Nothobranchius furzeri: one gene and its partner. The main gene of each other region encodes a partner of the protein of the gene in region 2 in a complex. Links are inferred from orthologs where the notes say so. Each region holds a gene or a part of one and is shown on either strand. Other genes may lie near its edges. The genes, in order: naa15b and naa50.

Region 1 (3,816 bases), on a different chromosome or scaffold from region 2:
ACAAATTAGATGTGTTTCTTCTATTCGATAATACTTTTTCCGGCATACTTTGCAGATTATATTGTTCTGCTCCACATCCGACTCCTTAAAGCCAAACCAAGTCCAAATGACCGATGTTGCACCGGTCTTCTTTACGAGAACCTCCTCCTCCTCCACCACAGGCTCCATGCTTTCAGCCTCAACAGACGCCGCTTGATGATGTCATCAACATGCGCTACCATTGGCCAAATTAATATCATTTCTACCGTATACCGTTTATACCGCCCACCCCTAGAGGATGGCTGCTTATACTGAGCCAGGATCCTCTGGAGGTTTCTTGCTGTTAAAAGGAAGTTTTCCTCTCCACTGTCGCTAAATGCTTGCTCAGTATGAGGATTGCTGTAAAGACTCTGACACTAGTCAGTGACTTGATGCAATTTGCTGGGTTCCTTATATAGGAAATTTTTTTCTGACTGGCTTAAAGAACTGACCTGGATTGGAATGTTTATTATGTGAAGTGCCTTGAGATGACTTGTCGTGATTTGGCGCTTTATAAATAAAACTGAATTGAATCTAAAGATGCTCACCAGCCAGTCGGTGTGGGATGGAGCTGGAGTGCTTGGTGAGGTAGGCCTGGTTGAAGCTCTTAGCATTGCTGTCTCCAAACAGCCGAGTGATCTCTTGCTTCAGCACCGTCCTGACAACCTCTGGCAGGTCCTTGCTCTCCGAGACTAGACGTTCGAGGAGTGAAAAGACAGACGGGATGTGAATAAGAAGAAGAGGGGACAAGGGGCATGGTGAGGTCACAAAAGCCCCTCTCACCTCCTTTGAAGAAGCGCACTAGACACTGGTGCAGCCACGGGTGGTCCGGGTCGATGGCCAGAGCCCGCTTCACTGATTGTAGCATCAACAGGTACTTTTCTAAAAGGAAAACACACCAGGGATGTGTGAAGGAGAGAACAAAGAAACGGGAGAAAACCGGGTGAAATATTCCAAAGCTGACCTTTCCTGAAGTAGATCTCAAAGGCCAGTAGATGTGTGTCTATTTTGTCTTTGATCAGCTGTTTGAGAGGCATCAGGAACTTCACGGCTTCTTCCAGTGGATTTTCTACCTGTTAAAGTCAAAGACGAGTCAGACGTCTGATCAGGCTGATCCGCTCGCCTCCTGCTCCCCGTTTCTAACCTTGACCAGTTTCTCAGGAATGAGCTCTTCTTTGGGCCCTCCGATTTCCTCGTCGTCATCCTCTTTCTTCTTCTTCATGTTCTTTTGCTGCTTCTCCTTCTCGGCGTTCTTCTTCTCCTCCTCCAGCTGGGCCTTCTTCTGGGCTCTTCGCTGTTTGTTCCTCCACTTCTTCAGTTCTTTGTCTGAAAGGTTTGCTGAAGACAAGAAAGAGGCGGAGCTAAAAACGGATGGAACAAACTGAACGTCTCTAATTTGGAGATCCAATAATGAGGAAACAGCCGTGTCATCAGTGAGCTTCTCACCGGTGTCCGCCTGCAGCTCTTTGCTGTCGTCGGTCAGAGGGTTTTCATGGAGACTCAGGTAGATCTGGATGGCCGAGATGGCGGCCTTGTAGTAGAAGGGATGCATCCGGAGAACGTCCTCCAGCTTCAGGAGGTCTACGTAGGAGCGGAGCGTCATCTTCCTCATGCAGTAGGTGTGGAAGTCAAACTGGTCATCTGTAATCTCCACAAAATGCTGATTCATACAAAAAAATGAAAATAATTAAATTCACACAGGTCATCCTGAGCTCTGCCTGCAACAGTGAGAACAACTCACCCTTTCGATCTCGTGGCACTTCTTCAGAGCTTCTCCGAACTTGTTCATAGCTTTGTAGGCAAGGGCACATTCCGTCTGGAACCACATGCACTGCATCTCGTTCAGGTTCTCCACAGCCGACGCTCCCTCCTGGAAAACACAAAAGCACATTGGAGCAGAGCTAATGCTGCTGCAGCGACACTCAGCTTTTATTTACTGCAGCTTCCTGACTCAGGATGAATGGAACAGGCGGTTCATCACTTTTAGACGAACGCATGAAAAAACCCAAAGCTTCTGCCTACATCTAAGCAGTAAAATAAGTCAGAGCTTTGGTTGATGTTTACATATTTTTGCCAAAGCTCCAGATTGAACCAGTTTATGCCAGAAGACACGGGTGCGACCGTTTTCTCACCCGTGTGAACTTGGAGCACATTTCTTCGGCCTCTTTGATCATGCCTGCTTTCAGCATGTACTTGGCACACTTGGAGTTGATGAATCTGTCGGCGGTGTCGAGCGCCTGGGCCTCGTCCATCCACTGGGCCGCCTCTCTGATGTTTCCAGCATGCTGCGGGACACAACAGGTCAACGCAAACTCCTCCGATACACCGCACAAGCGTGACAGCATGCGGGGTGGTGACACGTTACCTTGTAAATCTTGGCTTTGATGAGGAAGAGCTCGATGAGCGTCGGCGTGCTCTCGATGGCCGTGTTGATGTATTCTAGCGCCAGCGTCTGCTGGTCGATCACGTCGTAGTGCTGAGCCAGGAAGTACTGAACCCAGAGTAAGGTGGTGGGAGGCTCCTCCTTACCGTCGTCTGCAACCAGGACAGAAAACTCCTTCAGTACTGAAGTTGCTACTAAACGTTTGGTTGTTGCAGCGACTCTGAAACCTTCTCACCGTTCTGGCTGAACATCCGACAGCCTTTTAACGACGTCTCGTATCCGACCACCAATTCTTCTATTATTCCCACCTGAGGAAAGAAAAGTATTAAACTCACTGAAGGTCCAAATGTTTTAATCTGAGACCTTCTCTTCAGCGCTGAAAGCATCTCGCTCACCTTTTCTTTGTCGTTGTACAGTGACTTGAGCGTGGTGAAGACGGGCGGGCAGCCTTTACTGAAGTTCATCCTCAGATACCTGTCCAGGCACTCCCTGAATTTCTCCCCTGAACAAAAGCAAACACATTCTTAACAAACATAATCCACACAGGGGAAGAACACGCGACTGGTGTTATTGAAGTCACCAGAGAGGAAGTTGAGGGGGAGCCTGCGAGGAACCAGGCCTTTGGGAAACTTCTCCCAGGTTTCCTCGTAGATCTTTAGTTTCTCCTCGACGCTGCCTGGGAACAGAAAACAAAACTCGGGTAGAGTCTAACCCAGCCTTTCCACTGGATGTGTAAGCGGTGTGTAACGTAACAGGACGCGTTTGACCCGCGTCTCCCTTCCAAACGGGAGCGTTTCAGACGCGAAACGGGGGCAAAAGCGTTTTACACAGCTGGTTCCACGAGGTCACACATCCACAGGAGAATTGAAACACCGCACGTTATTTTGGAAGTTCCAACGATAAAAACAAAGAATTAATGCAGCGTGTCTCCAAAAGGTCTGGTTTATCTTCTGTTCTGTTTACCTCAGCCGCGGAGGTCTCACAGGAAACTACACTAGTTACTTTTTACTAGTTTAAGGGACTTTACAGACTTTTGAATTTTTATGCTCGCGATTGCCCCCTCTGGCCAAAAGCATAACAGCAGCTTCAATAGTAGGCTCGTGCACGAGGCGCGCATGCTGTACGTGCACACTCCTTAACAAAAACAACAGCTGAGACAGTTGTGTGTGTGTGTGTGTGTGTGTGCACGCGTGCGTGGTGTGTGTGTGTGTGTGTCCCGGAGGACAGGAGAACGCGCAGCTAATTAATTAAATAATTTGGTTCTGTACCTTTCTCTTCAGCACAGCGACAAAGGTTTATGATGGGTCAGTCCTCCTGCATGCTCAGATCATTCCCTTCCCTTGCTTGAAAAATTGTTCCAAAATGAAAGTTGAACCAACATCTTTTTTATCCGTGAATTCAATGCCGTTCGGCGA
Region 2 (4,460 bases):
TTTCCTTCTACGGGAACCCACAAGGTCAAAATTCATTTTCTGAATTGTGACAAGCGGTTACAAAACTTTTGCCATTCATAAACATTGCGGTTTTATACATTAACCTCTTTACTCATTGCCAGTGATGAAAGAAAATCTGATGTGCTTTTGGTTTTGCTGGAGGATGAACGATCTGATGGAGTACTTGTTTGAAAATTGCGCTCCCTGGGATTTTGACCCTAATGGCCATCCGTTGTTAAGGTCTTACTCAAACAAAAATACAACTTACTTGCAATGATTTAGGTATGTACTGCCCCCTATTGCTAGAGATAATACACACCACCACTTTAGGGTGCGATATATTTTTCCACCTCTAGATGGCACCCTCCAAGAAAAAAACCTCCAGATTTCTGCTTAAAAGTCAAGAAAAGTGAAACTGCCACCTTTCAGAACTGAATATTCAGTGTGTTGTGTTAAAACCGCTCTTATGTCCAAAGTTTCTCCAACGTCTCATGAGCTGAAGTATTTTATAAACAATCACATCACCATCCTTTTAGTAAAGCCTGGTTATTTCTGTAGAAATATATATAAAAGACCTGCTGGATGAAGTGGAAAATCTATTTCTGATGCTGGTGATGTTTACATGTAAGTAACCGTGTAATGCTAAATCTATGGTGGTGTAAATGTTTACATGAATATTTATAGATTGGAGCAGAAACACACGTTTGTATAACAGTTGTGTGACATTCAGGAAGCTAATAAACCAGCTACTGAGTAATCAGTGCACCCCTGTTAAAAATATGGTCTTATTTGAGTTAAAACATGTCCTGCTCAAAGGCACTTACAGGTAAATGTTGTCAAAAGTGCCATCCTTCTCACAGATGGTCAGCACATGATTAAGCATTTTTGTACCTAAAGGAAAACAGAAGGACAACTTTAGAAATAAAAACCAAACACGATTCTCAAAGTTTGAGGAACAGAACGCCGTACCGATTCCAAGTCTACGATAGGGTGCTAGACAACCAAGTGTCATGATGTACAGCCTCTTCTGGTTCTGAGAGTGGTCCACTCTGCAGCACACGGCTCCGACTGCAATGTCATTAAAGTACGCTGGAGAGACAAAAGGAAACTGATGATTTCCAAACAGATGAACGCAGACATTTAAAAGTTAATTTAATTGGATTTTTCAGTAAAAAGGACTTTTCATGTACATGACTGATTTATTGCTATAACAACCAGAATCAACCTCATCTGATGTGTGTGTTTTTAAAGGTAATCAGTCACAAATGATCTGAATGCAACTTGAATCATTTTTTCTCACCTAGCTTTGCGAGCTCCCCCACTTCCAGTACATCTTTGTAAAATTTGTCGTTGTAGCTGACAGGGAAGATGACTTGGTTCAGGCGTTTCAGTTGCTTTATGTTGTGAGGCGTAACGTCCCCCAGCTCGATCCGGCTACTGGAACAAGAGCAAAACGGTCAATTGGCTGACGACAGGTGCACAAATGAAGCCAAGGTGCCTTTTAGATTGAAGAGGGATCATTTGGTGTCGTAGTATCTTCCAAAAACACTAAAATGCTTGAAATATTTTGTTACGTGTCACTGCAGAAGTATTCAGACTTTGAGATGCACTTCAAAAACCAGCTGGTGATCAGAATGAATCAATATTTAACTATTTAAACTCAAAAACTGTATTTTTTGGTATTTGAAGCAGCAGAATAAAATCATACTTTTTCCCCAGGTCTGTGAATGCACCACAGCTAGACATAAACTCACCCTTGGAATAACAATTACTTCGTGTGCACGTTTAGTTTGCTTCCAGAATCATAATTTTCATATTAAAAAAATGTATGTATAAAGTATTTTTTAAATTATAGTTCTTCCAAAACCTGCATCAGCAATTCAAAGCTGCACAAGTCAGAAATCATTTTCAGCTTTCAAACCTAAAATCAGTGCATCTCTTGCATAAAAGATAACTGAAAATTCTGAAGTGAAATGTTTTAGAAGCATCACTTTTATGTTTAAATCCGCAGGTAAATTTTCATGCTTGAGAATTAACCTTAACATTAACATACTCCTGTGTTTCAGGGTAATTTCCCCCCATATATTAGTATTACCTTTGCATAATTTGTTGCAAAAACAGACAAGACTGGAGGAAAAAGGTGGTGGCAAAGACTAGACTTAAAAATAACGATTTAGCTCTTTACCAAGTAAAATAATGTTACGCCAGTTAGGATCAAGTCATGTGACTCAATCAGGTTTGTTATAAGCAAACATCCATTCTCTTGGTCTAGCAAAGGAGTTCAGTCAGTGTAGTATTTATAGGACCACTTGTATTTCCAGAAAGCTGAAAGTCGCGTGATGGAGAATGAAGAATGAAATCCCATCACGGTGATTAAACAAAGCCCGGCTTCAATAATGCTCATGGGGATTTAGAATAAGACAACAGACATTAAAGTTATGTTGTAAATCACATCTTGGTACTCTTGACAGATCAAGTTACACTAAAGGAAGTTAGCACAGACTCTGAGGTTCAGAGTGAAGCACTTGGAACTTTCTAACTTGACATAAATCGAATCTGCAGCTACTTCTCTGATTTAGTTAAAATGTTTTGTGCAGCAGAAGTTCACAACAAACAAAAATCTCCATAGATTTGTGTCTGTGCTTAGCTTAGCTTAACGGGGTTTACTGACTCAGCTCTCACAGGCACCTAACTGGTTGGCCTAGCTTAGTTTTCGATCTGAACGAAACTAAAAGCAGCTTTAGGTCAGACCTGTCTCAACAAAGCTGCTCCAATGACTGAGCTGTCGTTCGTGTTTCTGACTGAACGCTAAATAAAATCAGCTTAGCGCGCTAGCTAACCTCGTCGTGTCCAGCCCGCCTCCCTTGACCTGAAAAACTTTACTCAAGCTAAGCTACATATTCGTGACACAAAAAGCTTAAACTCACCCTTTCATTTTAAAAAGATAATATCCTTATTTACGGTTGGGTTTAACTTTAGCGATGTTTCTGGTAAAAGATGGGAATTTTGACAGAGTTAGGGTCGGGGATACCTCCCGTTTTACCCTCCACATGTAGCTTAGCCTCCACACTTCTACCACGACTGTGTCAACCCTGACGGACGCATGCGCACAAATGTTGCATGTGGAAGGCAGTTGTAAAATATAATTGTTGTTGATGAAAGAACCATTAAAATATAATTGTATGATATTTCAAAGTCTCTTCAAAGTAAATAAGGGAGATTTTTGAAACACAATGTTATTTATGGATGTCTAAAATAATGTCAGAACCATCTGGTATAGTTTTTAATTGTAGATACTTACAAAACAATTTATGTCCATTGAAAACGCAATTGTATACACCTGAAAGTCGCAATAATAAAATAATATAAAACCTCGTCATAAGAATTTGGGCGCGCCTGTATTTGCGTGTGTGTGTGTGTGTGTGTGTGTGTGTGTGTGTGTGTGTGTGTGTGTGTGTGTGTGTGTGTGTGTGTGTGTGAGAGAGAGAGAGAGAGAGAGAGAGAGAGAGAGAGAGAGAGAGAGAGAGAGAGAGAGAGAGATGAAATCCCAGTAAGTCTAAAGTGACATAATCTGTGTTAAATAGGAAACGTGAACTCTATGAATTGATCATTTTGGATAAAAAATTAAACCACCCTGTATATTAAATGGTACGTTAGCTTGACATACAGCTCTTTACTTTTTATCCGGATTACAGTAGTTCTCTTTTTCTTTTATCAAAGTGTAGATTTTTTTAGCAACTACTGTAAATTATGATGAAAATTGAACTATTTTGATTGGGGAGCTTAAGATATAACCGAAAAGTTAAAAAAAGATCACGTCATGAAGACAGAATAAAGTATAAATAAATTTTTTTAAAACTTTTTTAGAATTATAGACATTTTATAAGTGGTAACGTTTTAATTAATAAACCAAACAGTATAAAAAAAGTTTTATACTGTTTAGTCAAAGTAGTGGATAATCTTCGTACAATAGAAGATCTTTGCTGTAGTTCCGGGGCGGATCCAAAATGGCGTCTGTTGCGAGGGCCCTGCAGTAAAAAAATTCGAGGCGGTAGAGTGAATGAAGTCAGCTGACCTCAGGCCGCTGTCACGCACCGCAGTATCAGCCGCTTCTCTCTCGAGGCAGAACGCAAAACGGACACTACACGACTTGACGGTAAAAAATGTTAATTTCTACCTCTTCTTTTGTTTACACCGAGGTTAAAATAGAACCGTTTTGGTTTATTTTGCGGTAAATCGGCAGAGGCAGCAGTTTTTTAAGACAAGGCCGACAGCAGTCTTGCTATCATTTTCATGATGTATTTGCCTACACAGTTAGTTAGCTAACAGTGTTTTTAAGGTAACGGGCTGGGATAAACTACGATGTCTATGGCTTGTCCTTTGTCAATAAAGCTAGGTTTTTCAAAAACGTCGATTAAACCTGTCAGATGTTCCTGAAAATCGACCAGCAGCATTATAGA

The links.
Region 1: the proteins of naa50 (region 2) and naa15b are in contact, whole or in part, in a cryo-EM structure (PDB 6PPL), measured with the Homo sapiens proteins. The link is inferred for Nothobranchius furzeri from reciprocal best matches to the Homo sapiens genes NAA50 and NAA15. Residues at the interface, in NP_079422.1 of Homo sapiens: Arg5, His14, Asn15, Lys17, Gln18, Arg21, Leu22, Val25, Phe51, Asn52, Ile54, Ala55, Leu80, Pro82, Tyr83, Leu86; in NP_476516.1 of Homo sapiens: Pro369, Pro370, Thr371, Leu374, Ser403, Thr404, Pro405, Thr406, Leu407, Ile408, Phe411, Glu433, Ala436, Leu437, Asp438, Thr439, Ala440.

Annotation. Positions count from the first base shown.
Region 1 is NC_091746.1:82,172,522-82,176,337, reverse strand, and holds part of naa15b (N-alpha-acetyltransferase 15, NatA auxiliary subunit b), read right to left. Parts: intron 3,078-3,816; coding exon 2,982-3,077; intron 2,904-2,981; coding exon 2,797-2,903; intron 2,710-2,796; coding exon 2,637-2,709; intron 2,554-2,636; coding exon 2,384-2,553; intron 2,304-2,383; coding exon 2,151-2,303; intron 1,889-2,150; coding exon 1,760-1,888; intron 1,679-1,759; coding exon 1,465-1,678; intron 1,357-1,464; coding exon 1,163-1,356; intron 1,092-1,162; coding exon 983-1,091; intron 901-982; coding exon 802-900; intron 711-801; coding exon 567-710; intron 1-566. UniProt on the Homo sapiens protein: Auxillary subunit of N-terminal acetyltransferase complexes which display alpha (N-terminal) acetyltransferase (NAT) activity. The NAT activity may be important for vascular, hematopoietic and neuronal growth and development.
Region 2 is NC_091747.1:50,849,112-50,853,571, reverse strand, and holds the start of naa50 (N-alpha-acetyltransferase 50), read right to left. Parts: upstream 3,097-4,460; 5' UTR 2,936-3,096; coding exon 2,928-2,935; intron 1,438-2,927; coding exon 1,301-1,437; intron 1,090-1,300; coding exon 970-1,089; intron 892-969; coding exon 825-891; intron 1-824. UniProt on the Homo sapiens protein: N-alpha-acetyltransferase that acetylates the N-terminus of proteins that retain their initiating methionine. Has a broad substrate specificity: able to acetylate the initiator methionine of most peptides, except for those with a proline in second position.